Macaca mulatta: one gene and its partner. The protein of the gene in region 2 interacts with the protein of the main gene of each other region in a biochemical or structural test. Links are inferred from orthologs where the notes say so. Each region holds a gene or a part of one and is shown on either strand. Other genes may lie near its edges.

Region 1 (6,469 bases), on a different chromosome or scaffold from region 2:
ATTTTTTGTTTAATTTTAACAAGCCATAATTTTTCATTATTCCTAGTAGAAATGTAAAGTCACAGAAAAAAGAATTAATATTCTTCATTGTCTAATATGGTTAGACAATGAGTTTCTTTCTGAGACAGGCTGGAAGTGTAAATCATGTTCTGTAATTGACTGAGCTTCCAGGAGAGGTTAGGTTTATGCAATGTATAACTGTGCTCTGTACAGTTCTAAGTGCTGAACAAATAGCGGGGGACAAGACTGACCTCGCTGTCTCCAAGGTCACAATCTACTGGGAGAAGACACTGAACAAAAAACACATTAATAAGAGAAATCTCAGCTAAGTGCCACTGAAGATAATAGAAAGCCACTGGACTGTACTTTAGGTAAAGAATTTGAATGAAATAATTCACAGAGCTTAGAGCTCAAGATGAAGCATAAGCACAATCCATGAGCTGTGTTGGGGCAGAAGAAAAAAGGAGAAATGTGAAGAAGATTATTAAATATTTTTATGTCAGAGTTTATTTGAAAGTTATCCATTTCTCCCTGATGTCATGTTTTTAAATAAGTATATTTTATCAATTAAAATTATTTAAAATATTTTATATTCATTAAAATTATTTACATTTTCTTCCTTAGTCTAAATTAGTGTTAGCTGACTTTAAGACGTTGGGTCTAGACTAACTAATGAAAACATTAAACATGCCTCAAAAGTGATTATGATGTGAACCCCTAAATGGAACCACTTTTTATAATCGTCTGGTATTCCTCTGAGTTCATTAGGGGAGCCACGGTAATGGAGAAATTTTACTAAAATTCCTCTGACCCCCACACAAAAAAACCATTTACCCTAGTCCCAGGGACCAACTCAAAGCATGCCTGACTCCCCAGTTAAAAGTCTGATATTTGTAAAACGCAAGGTTACCCTACGTCCAAACCAGCAGTTCTCAAATTGTGGTTACTGCAACAGCAGCATCAGGAACACCTGGGACCATGTGAGGAATGGAAATTCTTGAACTGCACCACAGACTTATTGAATCAGAAAATATGGCTGTGAGTACCATTATTCTGTCTTTTAATAAGCCCTTCCAGTGATTCTGATGCATACTCAAGTTTGAGAGCCGCTGGTTCTAAACGGTCACTATCATCAGCCTTATGCTAATCAATAAAGTAAGTTTATCTACAAATTTAAAGTGAAATTCCTTTTTGATTACATAAAAGTGTAAAAATGACACAGGATCTGTTTTGAAAAATATAAAATTATTTAAGAGATTTGTGTCACAGATTTTATTTCTGGCCATATGTAACATTACATGTTCTCCAAAAAATTCAGTTAAAGTTTTTCCAAGTTTACAGCTGCCTTCGATACACTCCCCTGCAGTAGAATCCAGAGGGAAAAAAAAATGAAATTCAGTTAGCATCCCCTTGATGTACCTATGGGAGGGACACAATAAGATGGATCCACATGCACAAACTAATATACCCCTGTCATCATTCGAATGACAGCTAAGAGATTGAAACTTAGTTCCCAACTTTATCATAGGGCTGCTTTACTATACTTGATCCTTTCATACATGTAACAACCAATGATGCTGTAATTATTTCATATTTGTTAACATTTTCCCCTAAATATATTATAAATTATTTGAAGTCAAGGCCCATTTCTATACTTCTTTCTTATGCATCTTTTTATATGTCAAACAGTATCTGGCATATGGTAGATGTTGATATGATTGATTGATGCATTTTTTTTCTAAGGACCTGAACAGGACAAATTGTCTCACTGCTGGTAATTTAATTATTGTTACAATTGCAATTATAAAACAACTATTTGGTATTTTAAGTGAGATCTTAAATTTCTAAAAAATTGGTTTAAATGAGTTTGATCCAAGATTGCAGAAGTGGTATTCCAAATATTCAACACCTGGTATGGAATACAGCCATGGATGTGCCCAAAGGACTGCAGGGATATCTGCTCCACAAGGACCCTATTGCAAAGAATATTTCCCATATACATATATATGATTTTGAGGCATAATTTGAATTAATGGTTATTGTCTAGATAAATAAAATTCTAGAGTTGACTGAACAACAAGCAAAATGGTGTCTCTTGATGCATTTCCCCATTTCAGATTTTAACAAAATGCAAAACATCTGAGCCCTTGTTTTGTCTTCAGCCATAACACACACATAATACATGGGTTTCTACTCAGTTCAAGATCTTTATTCTTAGTGTTTTTTCTCCAAGTTGTCTGCAGTTCCCGTGCCAATCTGACCAGATGCTTCCGTGAGAGCCTGACTTGGTTAGCAGTTTAGAACATTCACAGACACATGCCAGCAGCAGCCTGTGTGGTGGACTAATGGGTGAACAACAGAGGAGATTAGAGAATTGGAAGAGCTGTTTGGCCAGCCCTTGAAACAGTGGTGACCGACCCACTGTGGCTCTATTTACTAGCAATAGAAGGATAACAAAGCTATTCAGTGTCTGGAGGAAACATTCCAAAACTGTGGTAATGATTTACTGAAGTGGATTTGAAAACAAAAGCAGAATACTTACTGAGCCATAGAGTTTCCCCTTCTTGTTCATGGCTAAGTAATAGTTGCTGTTAATGGCTTTGACGGCAACAACTCCGATTTCTACTGATGTTATCTCCAGGATGCCTAAAACATACAATTTGTAAAAGCTAAATAAATAATCCTAAAGCTATTTGGAAGAAAAGTAAAATCAAAAGAAACTATTGAGATTTTTTTTTTTTTTTTTTTTGGTGGTTCTAAAAACAAAAGGCTCAAAACATTGGTAAACAAACAAGCAAATCTTGTTCAATGTGTCTTAAAACCCAGCAAGTATTTCCAGCAAATATATGGAAGAAAGTAATAAGGCTTTAAAAGAATTCCCCTTCATTTTACTCTGAGCATACATAGAAAAATATTGTTTTAATTAAAATGTTTCCTTTGCTAACTCTGCATTTTCAACCCTATAAATATTGAAACAACTCCACTCAGTTTAGATTTCAAAATAAGTTATCAAAGCACATATCTGTACTATGGTATTAAATTAAATCTATAGCACATGTCAATAATATGTCAGATTACCTCAATATGTAAAAACAGTGGTAAACTATTTCTTCTTTGTAGGATCTAGATAAACTAAATCTCTTGGCTACATTTAACTGATAGATTCATTTTTGGCAAATGTGTTGACATTCTGAGATACAGAGAGACTAATCCCAACATTTACACTGTCTCTGAAATAGCAGAATCACTGCTCTGTGTTGGGGGAAAATCCATAAACATGGACTTTTAAAGTTTTTTTTTCTAGGAAAAATGGAAAATTGAGGGAAGTAGTAAGAGGTAGACAACAGCTCCTTTTCCCCTTATACACAAGTTTCTATTGCTGCATCTAAAGATAATTTTCTCGGAAAAGTTCGTAGATCACAATAGGGAAGGCAGTTTATCGTCTACCCGAAGTGCCCACCCATTTTAGTTTAAGAAGACTTAAGGAACTAAAACTACATATTTCAAAATTCTCAGCAGTTTGTTCAGGGTAGAGAAGTAGCATTGTGATTAGCATGTGGCTCCTGGAGCCAAAATACCTGGGTTCAACTCCTGGCTTTACATTTATTAGTGAATTACCACAGTAGAAGTCACTGAAGTGTCCCATGACTCAATTTTATTTGCAAAATGGGCAACATAATAGTACCTCCCTCATAATTTTGTTGTGAATATTAAATGAGATAGTACCTATAAAATGATTAGAATTTTCCTTAGTATCTTCTTAATTATCATTAGAGGGGAGTTTTTCTCCAACAGTTCCAGATTTTGGAAATTCTTCAATGGGCTTTGTAAATCCTGAGCAATACATACAAATTCCCATTGGCTTAATACATAAAATCTGAAAGTTGAGCATATTATCATTTGTCATGTATCATGAGAAACACCATCCCCAATGTTGTCTACAGATTATATGTTTTCACTCTACCCATAGAGATAGAGTGGCTTAACTTGTTCTCGAGAGATGAATACCTTCTGTCCTATTCCTTCACGGGTTAGCCTTATGGAGGCTAATAGAAATGCTTGAGTTTCCCCTGTTGCAAAGTTGACATAACCAGAGACTTTGCCAAAACTACATGTCAGAGACCCTTTTGTCCATGTATCTGTAGGAAGTCTCTGACCTAACACAGCACTCCTTTTCATCAAAAGAGGTATATCTCACTCTATTTGCAAGCCAAAACCAAGGAAAGATTGTGAAGGATAAAGGAGACATTATCTGTGGTTTTTTTACATCCATTTCCCTTATGCTGATAGTTGCCCTAAGGTATACACACACGTACAAATACACACACACACACATTTATTTGCATATTCTGAAAAATATTTTAATTCACACAATAACCCTCTAAGGATACTATTGTTGGTCTCGATTACAAATAAAAAAAAAAAAAAGGAAGATACTTAGATTATTTAACTCACACACACAGGTGGTAAGGTGCTAACGGTCAGGAATAATGGATGTTAACACTTAAGCCTCTGACTTTTAGATGCTATTGCTCGCCATCTCTGACTATGTTGCCTCTCCATCATCTCTTCCTCCTCTTTCCCATTCCTACAAGGGAATCCTGTTGTAAACCATCTGACAAAATGACTCATCAAGATAATTTTCTTTAATGACTTAATGTGCTGTTCCTCCCAAGGATGATGGCATGCCACAGAGGATAATGTCTGAATCTTAGAGAACAAAATCTAATATACTTTATTTATGTCATAAGCAGAAAATACAAAGCAGAGCAGGAGGTAGAATTCGGGGGCAAAAGATTAGGCAGTTCCTTACATTGTCTGGCTAAAAGACAAGAAAGTACTGTCAGTAAACTGCAAGATATTACCTTATGTATACTTTTGAAACTGAAAATTAATAGAACAAAGAGGAATGAAGGATGATTTTAATCAAAAAATAAACCAATATTTGAAGGTGCGTGCAACATTGTGGGATTAAACTATACTAACAGACTGAGCTATAGTAATAGTATAATATATATCTGAATTTTTGACCAATTATTTCTGAGGATGCACTGCATGTGGTATTGTAGATTATATTTAGCTTAGATACGCCTTGGTTTCTTTCTGCTTTACCTGATTAGGAGCGCAATATTCAAAGACTCAATCAACCTTTTTTTTTCCCACTCTGCCACTAGTTTAGGCAAGCTTAAAAAGGTTTAGCTATTATTTTTATATTATTATTTAGTTATTGTCTCAAAATAGAAGGAGGGAAGACATAGGTGATTTAAAATCCTTTCGAATTTTGAAAATAATTTTTGGACACAGCATATGGTCAGGTAAGTTATAATTTGATCATCTTGTGGGTATTGGACAATGACTGCACCTCTTATAAACATCTGTGAATGTAAAAGGGGAGCTCTGAAGGACTGAAGCCTAGAGAACTTCTTTACTTTTCATAAGGAATCACTCCTGTTTTTTCTGTTATTTGGTAAGGATGATCAAGTTTGCCTATCAAATTATTTTTGGAAAAGGGCTCTAGAATTTTGTTTGAGGATTGTTGGATCAGTAGCTTATAGTTCTATATGTGTATATTTTGAAGCAAAACTAAACACCAGTTAAAAGAGCCTCCAGGAGGAAAGTGAGTTGAGGGCATACTGGATCTCCCTGTGTTTCTTACAAGTTTATGACTACAATTATCTTAACATTAAAAGTTAAAAAAAAAGTTTTTTTTACTCAAAGAAACACCTGAAAATTATATTATTAATGAAAGGTCACATGAATTATATTTCCCATTCATGTAAATCAGATATTTTATAAATTTATAGGCATATTCTTGTAGTGAAATTCTATTATCTATATTAAGTTGTAACTATATTAGTTTTTATATCCCTTAAAACATGAATAGCCCAGGTAGCATTGTGAATCTATTTAAGGGTCTTTGGACAATTTAGTTCAGTCACTTAGGAAGACCTAGGAGGAGAAGGGTACGCTTTTAGAAAATGAAAATATAAAGTCAAATACGTAATGGTTTTTCTATTGAAAAGTCTATGTACTATTGGGAATAAAAGACAAATACACAGATAACTACAATAAAACATGTTACACGGCAGTAAGTGATGACTTAAGATGATGACAAGGGGACTATGGGGAAAAGATAAAGGCAGGTCATACTGGCTGGGGTTCCACGATCAAATTACTGTTGGAAATGAGACCTGAACTGAGTCATGAAGGTTGAGTAAGAAGTGTCCAGGGGAAGGGTGGGAAGGCAAGAGCAAAATCATTAAGGTGAAACAGTATGGTGTTTTCAAATATCATAAGATGTTTGATTTACCAACTGGAGTACAAGGAACAAGGCAGGAAGTTGGGAAAAGTGAAGTTGGGAGATAATGAGACTCAGTTTAGTAAACATCTTGTGCAGATTCTAAGAATTTTGACAACTAGGAAGGATTTTGTCTACAAACATAAAATTGTTTAAATAATACATTAGAAA
Region 2 (7,079 bases):
TTCCACCAGACCGGTCCACAGAAATGTGTTAGGCTAATCTTTTCAAAAGCATACTTTTAAGAAACAGAGATAAAACAGTAGCTACAGGACTCAGATACGTGCAGCCACTTCAGTGAGGCAACGCGTGCTCTCTTCTACTATCCACTATCGCCTCCACCGCCCTCAATGAGCAGAAGCAACATGACCTTAGTTTCAAGGGCAACTACAAAAGCAAGTTAAAAGTGCTCGGGTTGGCATAACCAACCTCATTCCCTCCTCTTAGTCCAACTGGGCTTTAGAAAGCTAAACTGTTAGAGGCGTCTGCTCACAGCTCCGCATTTCTGCTGGGCTGGAGCTGAGCAGTCTGTCCCACCCTCACTGTAGCTCTTGGGAAGAAAGGAGACCAGCAAAATCAAAAGAATCCCAGGAAGGCTACAGATAATTCCCACCAGTTTACACTTGTCAGGATTCATTTTCAAATGGAGAAGTGTATTTCCGTCTTCCGCCAAGCAGCCACTTACGAAGAGTGAACACAACTGCAGCGCGTTCAATGCAGCTGATCCAAAAAGGATTTCGAAGCCTGAATTCCCTTCCCCTGTGACTAAATGGCAGTCCAGGGCTGCTAAATGTCTTCAACCTCTGTAGAAGGGTTAGGAAACTGAGCAGATGCAAATTCTGATGAATTATGCAGGAATTTATTAATAATGATGATGTAAATTATGTAAATTTTAGTCATAGTATGTGATTGGACCAATAACTTTCAATATGCAAACCTATTGGCTAAATTTTCAGAGTATAAGTTAGAAGAGGACACTCAGCTTACTATTCTATTCACCCATTTGATCCAAGGGAAAGAGAATTTTCCAAGAAAGCTTAATACATTCCAAGCAACTTTAAATTCACTCAGTACCCTCTGTGACTAAGGGTAGAGTCAAAATGCACAAACTTTACAGAATGATTAAAACAATCACAAGAAAGGGCACATCAATCTCAGGCTTCAGATTCTGTGAACCGCAGGAATGAACCACATTTTCTAACATTGGGGGTGGAGGGAGGCCTTTAATACAAAAATTTCTAAACTCTACATTTTTTATGTACCCACTCGATGTTTCAAGTTATGACATAGGATTTCAACACTGCTGGAGCCTCCCAAAATCTTATCATAAAAACTGCTCCTTTTAGCTTTGACTGAGGATAAAAATGGATGAGGGAAAAGAATATACCACATCATTTCCAAAGGAGGAATAAAGAAAACCTCAGCTTCAAAGATAGCACAGGTGAAACGGCATGATTCGCAGCAAAAACAAGAAATGTGTGCAGTTGTGTGTGTCCACGGTGTGTGTGCGTGCATGGTGTGTGTGTGTGCATGTGTTTTCAGATAGCTTGAAAGATTTTTCCTCCTAACTTTTCTTTCCTCTTAATCAAGAGCCTCAAAAGATAATTTCGGATCTATTTCTACACATATGTGGGAGGAAAGTACACAAACATTCTCATTGATTTACTAAGCATTTCCAGAATGCAGGGGAATTTTCTACCTCTAACACGCCTTCAGGAACAATCCTAAGTCCTCGCAGAGGTTTCGCCCCAGGCTCCTTCCCCAGCCTGCTCCCCTACCTGTCCCTAACCAGAGGAGCCTCCTTGGCTCCAGGCAGAGAAAGGTGGACAGGGCTCTCCGCTGAATCTCAAGCCATTCCATCATCCTGCTAGCTTGCACTAGAAATTTGCATTTCAGCCATTTCCAGGTCCAAGCCCCACAGCAGCCCCCTCCCCAAAACTCTGGAAGGCGGGGACCTAAGGCGACAGGTCTGCACAGTTCCTCACCCAAGTGGACAAAAGTATGGTGCGACCTCCTAGGCAGGATAATTAGGTCCCCAGGCTCGGTGTTGGGAACACAGGCCCAGCATGCCGCTGGCGGCCACAATCCCGGCTTCCTGCCTTCAATACCATAATCCTTCCTGGAGTCTGAGCCCCAGTGAAAGCCCCAGCGTGTTTATTTTTCCCCTTGAAAGGGAACTCTCTTCTCAGCCTGCACGCGGGAGGAGTTGTCACCCTCCCTCTGATGGATGGCTCTTCTCGGCCGCCCGCCCCCCCCCCCCGGTCCATTTTCACCTCGGCACAAGCCTGCCCCCAAAGACAGGCAGAGTGACAAGCAGGAAGGGCTTGGCTGCGGAGTGGTCCCCATGCCAGGCCTGTGCTGGGCTCTTCAATTTACCATGACATTCCCAAAACCCCGGCCCTCCAAGAAGGCAGATCAATACAATGCCCTCCGCTTTGGGCTTCCACCTAAGGGGTGATCTGTCGACACACTGCTGGCTCGGCCACCGGGAGCACCTGGCGTTTTCTTCCTAGGTAGATTTCACATCAGGAAAGTCAACAGTGCCCGGCTCCTCCAAAGTGCAGACCCATCTCTTCGCTTAAGGCCTCCCTACTTCTCCCCAGCACTGAGTAGGAGCGGGAGCTGTCAAGGGGTCAAGTCTGGGCGGGAAATTCCTCAACAAATTGAAATCTCAAAACACACACACTGACTCAGGACCACAATGCCCTCCCAGTTTAATGCTTGCGTCCAATCAGAACTTGCGAGCAGCTTGGGGGTGCTCCTCACCACCACCCCCTTTCAGGGCAGCACTTCTTTCATTTGTTTGCCTGAAATATCCTGTTTTTCTCCCCCTTCTCGGGGCGCTAAAGAGCTCAGAGAAATCTGCATTTTAATTGACATTCCAGGGAAAGGGAGAGGGGCGCCTGATTGCTTTTCTATTCAAACTAAACAGGCTTTTCAGATGAAAATGAGTCGAGCCCGGTGGAAGATTTACAGGGATTTGGGACCAGGGGGACAATGGAGTTTTAAATGTTGATAGCGTTTCACACCAAACACATAATGGGTGCCCTGAGTTTGAAAGCAGGTTTGCCTTTAAGGGTAGGTTTTATTGTATTGGGCGAAAAGAAGGAGGGTCTGGAGAACGATCTGCAAGGGAATGGGGTGCGAGGAGAGCGACGGAGGCTGGTGCCCCCGGGCCGGCCTCCTGCGCCAGGTTCGCGGTCCGCGAGGGTCGGAGCCAGCGCCACGCAGGGCCCTCGGCTGATTTCCCCAGCGCGGCCCCGTCGCCGAAAGAATGAGCAAGAATGAGCGCGCAAGTTAGAACTCGCCTGCGCTTTCGACATCTCCCAGCCGCTGCGGCAGAGCAAGCAGACGAACTAGAAAAAGTCGGTCCAGTTCGCCCCCTAGCCCCAGGCGCGCTGCGCTCCCTCCAGCGCCGACGGCGGCTGTGGGCGAGGGGCGCCCCGGCACCGAAAACCGGGCACTGGAGCCGTCGCCTCCCCAACAGTGCCACCCTTGACCATCGCCACCCCTACGGGATGTCACCGGCCCCACCCCAGCGGCCCCCTCCCGAAAAACGAGTCTCCGTGGGGCCTGGATGGGACGGAAGTTCCCAGGACCCACGGATGGAGCACCTCAGAGATGCCCCCTGGGACCCGGCCTGCGGGGCTGTGCCACGGGCAGGCGAACCTTCGGCCAGTCTGCTCTGGGGTCGGAGAAACGTGCCCAGTCAGCGGGAATGCGCCCGCCAGGGTTTGACAGGGAGGGGGGCGTCAACGCCAGAGGCAGATGTCAGCATCTGGATGGGGGTGGCAGAGGCAGAACTTCCCGAACACCGGCCGTCAGCAGGCACCCACCTCCCCCATCACCTATGCAGCCACAGAGAGAGGACACGGAGGGCCCTCCACAATGCCAGTCCTTCCGCGCCCCCCGCCCAGAGGACTGTGCACCCGGCGTCCCGGGCTCCCCTGGCGTCCACGTCCCCGACTGGGGAAGCTCCCCGAGGCGTCTTGCGCGGCGATTACCTTGAATGGCAACGCTCCTCCGCGATCTGTGTTATCCCCGCGCCCCGCGTGGGTCGGGATGGAGAAAGCGACGAGCCCGGGGTTGAGGGCAGCAACTCCAAAACGCAGAAGAGTGGTCCTTGGGTCTTCGCCGGCGCCAAGGCTCCCGGGCTTCAAGCGCACCCCAGGCTGCGGAGGAGCGCGGGCATGACGCCCGCGGGCTGCCCTCGGATTTGGGGAAGGAGAGAAAGAAAGGACTCAGGCTTGGCGTCGCCTCCACCAAACTTTGCTCTCGAGTTGCGAAGGCTCAGAGCGCGCAGGCAAGCTGCGGCCTCGGGGCCCCCGGGGCTCGCGGCCGGCCCCCGCCAGCCCGGAGAGCAGTCGCCGCGCCGGGCCAGGTACGCCGCATGCAGCCCCGCGGCGCCCGAGCTTTGTGGCGGCCGCGCGCGCTCGCTCGCCCGCTCCGCACCCGCCGCCCGCCCGCTCGGCTCTCCACCGCGCTCTCCTGCCGCCGCCGCCCGCGCCGCCGCCGCCGCCTCCGCCTCCTCGCGGCGGGTCACGCCCCCGCTGAAACCCGAGCCGTTTCCTGGACGGCGGCGCCCTCTCTGCCAATCAGCGCCGCGCGCCCGGGCCGCCCCGAGCCCCGCGCGGCTCCCGACGCCTCCGAGCTGCCGGAGACACCGGCCGGGGAGGCGAGGGCCCGGCCGCGATCCGGCCGTAGGGATGCAGCGACAGCCTCCGAATAAGGCCTGGTCCCGCGCCCCGCGCCACCTCCTCCCTCCTCCCCGGGCGAGCGAGGCTGGCCAGCGGCTCGCTGAGCGGCTGCGTTACGTTGTTTTATGTCAAGTTAGAAAACAAGTGACCAAAGGCTCTAACCCTGCCCTCCCCGTAAAGAGACTTTAAAATGCGCCTTCTTGGTACTGCGGGGAGGGTTGTCAGGCAACTGAAGCTTTTGGAGGAGAGAAAGCAACTTGGAAATGTTCGCAGGACATTGCATTTTTCTGTCCTTCTAAACAATAGAAATGAGAGGAAAAAACTGAATATTAATGGAGGACCTAGTATGTGAGGGTCACACTACATAGGTGATTCTATTTCGTCTCCCCAACCACCCTGCAGAGTACTATTCCCAGTTTCTGATAAGGAAACTAAGGATCAGAGAGGTTAAGTAATTTGCCTAGGATCACACAGCTGGCTACTAGGAGAGCCTGACCTTGAATGTGGCTCTCTCAGAAAAAGTCAAAAATTGCATCCAAAAAAAAAAGTGTTTAGTATATATGTTTGGATTAATAAAACGAAATTCAAAGGAGTCTAAAGACTCTACCATAAATAGCTGGACCTTGAACAAAGTAATTCCTCCCTCTGAATCTTAGATTCAAAATCATAAATGCAAAATCTGATTCTTCAACTGCACGCCAAGCTGTAACTGGTTAAAGTTCCTATTTCCATTCACCTTTTCACTAAGCCATGTCTTCAGAATAATTTATTTTAAATATGCTTTTTCTCCCTCCTTATTCATCCAGCTCCTGAGCAGTTGTGCTTAAGTTCAAGACATATAGATTAAAACCTTAATTATTTTTCTTTAGAAAAGGTCACTAAACCCAGAAATGCTTTAGAATCCTTTTGAGGCCTAAAGATAGATGAAGCATTGAGAACAAACCTGACTTGGAAAACAGACTTTTCCTGCATTTAGAAACGTATTTGCACCTGTGTCACTAACATTGCACACTTCATAACATTTACAAAAATATTTTTCAAGGTACCACATGATTAGAAAATCATTTTTATTCACAATATAGCACAGAAAACGTTTATACAAGTTACTTAAAAGCCATACAAGTAAGAAATCCATTTAACTGTCTCAGGCAAAAGGCTATAACATTATATTTTGGAAGTTTGATAGCAACAAAATAAAAACTGGTTCTTAAGTAAAATTATCCCTCTATATGCTTGGTAGGAGGGTATGTTTTTGGTCAAGTCCTCTAACCTGGATTAGCCCAGAGCCTGTACATTAACAGACACCTCAGCCCAGGTGACGCTTAGCCATTCACTCCCACCTGGGTTCCTCTGATAGCAGTATGTTTCAAGTTCTCAGAAAAGGGATGCAGCTGAACGCGTCTGCCTGCTCGCAGGCTGCCACTTACATCTTTATATTCCCCGCCAATGGGACACTCGAGTGTCTCAGGACAGATTCCATCCTGCACCGCATCCATCAGCCATTGAAAATGCTGTTAACACATTCTCACATAAATTAATGGTGCAGGAAGCCTCTGTCCCTATCCTCCATTCATCAATAGCTTTATGCATGTTGAGTGGAAAGGAAGCTTTCCACTGAAAATGACAAATAAGAACACCTACTTTAATGTCCAGGCACAGTTTGCAGAATGTATTTTTTATAGAGATGAAAAGACACCAATCTGTCAAAAGCTCCTTATTCCCTAAAGAGTGCTCATTTCTAAGGGACTGAAACCCACAAGTCCACAATAGCAAACTCTTCGGTTTTGAGGGAAAAAAAAAAAAAAAAGCATGTTTAGAATTATTTTCAAAAAATAATTCTGTCCCCATATTTAGTCTTCAAGTGACCTCAGACCGTCCGGGAAAACCTTCACACCAGTGAGGCTTCTGAATGAGAAAATAATCTCTTTACAGTTTTTTTTCTTTTCTCTTCCCTCTTCAAGTGGCTGGAACCCCTTTCGTCAATGGCCTCCCATGAATGGTGTTGCTAATAAAGCCTATTAATGAGCTTCCACGGCAGAGTGTGAATAGGTAAATAAGCCCCAATCTGTTGAGGTTCTGGGGCAAGGGCAGAAAAGCCAGTAAGAACTAAAGGTGACAGTTTGAACTGAACTGCGAACGCCAGCACCAGGTTTCAGCTGAAAGACCCGCCAGACAAGGACACATTCACAGTCCCTCCACCCCCTACTGAGGTCTCTTTTCTTCGCAATTTTCCCCCCTTTACAAAATGTCTTGAGTAGTCACCCTTTTTTTTTTCAAAAGCCCTCGAGACGCCCTTCTTTTTTCACTCTAGTAATGATACATCAATGGGAAGGAAGAAAAATGAGGACACCAGAACTCCGATGCCCCCAAAAGTTTCAAGAAACAAATTGTGCTGCTAGCCTGTTGGTGATGGGAAGAGAAAGGAGAAGGGGGTGGGAACACTCACTGCCACGGGCCTCTCTCCTTTGAAGATTTGGAATTCTTCTTTTAATAATTTGTTTTGTAATGGGTGGCTGTTCCTTCACTCTAAGGAAACGTTAGATGAAAATAAAGGCTGCTGACATGAA

The links. The genes of interacting proteins can lie anywhere in the genome.
Region 1: the proteins of FGFR2 (region 2) and FGF10 are reported together in a solved structure, tested with the Homo sapiens proteins (3 studies listed by BioGRID and IntAct, with this or other methods). The link is inferred for Macaca mulatta from reciprocal best matches to the Homo sapiens genes FGFR2 and FGF10.

The regions. Positions count from the first base shown.
Region 1 is NC_133411.1:45,619,857-45,626,325, forward strand, and holds part of FGF10 (fibroblast growth factor 10 precursor), read right to left. Parts: intron 2,647-6,469; coding exon 2,543-2,646; intron 1-2,542. UniProt on the Homo sapiens protein: Plays an important role in the regulation of embryonic development, cell proliferation and cell differentiation. Required for normal branching morphogenesis. May play a role in wound healing.
Region 2 is NC_133414.1:133,685,444-133,692,522, forward strand, and holds the start of FGFR2 (fibroblast growth factor receptor 2), read right to left. Parts: upstream 4,303-7,079; 5' UTR 3,820-4,302; intron 2,422-3,819; exon of another isoform or gene 2,311-2,421; intron 650-2,310; exon of another isoform or gene 501-649; intron 1-500. UniProt on the Homo sapiens protein: Tyrosine-protein kinase that acts as a cell-surface receptor for fibroblast growth factors and plays an essential role in the regulation of cell proliferation, differentiation, migration and apoptosis, and in the regulation of embryonic development.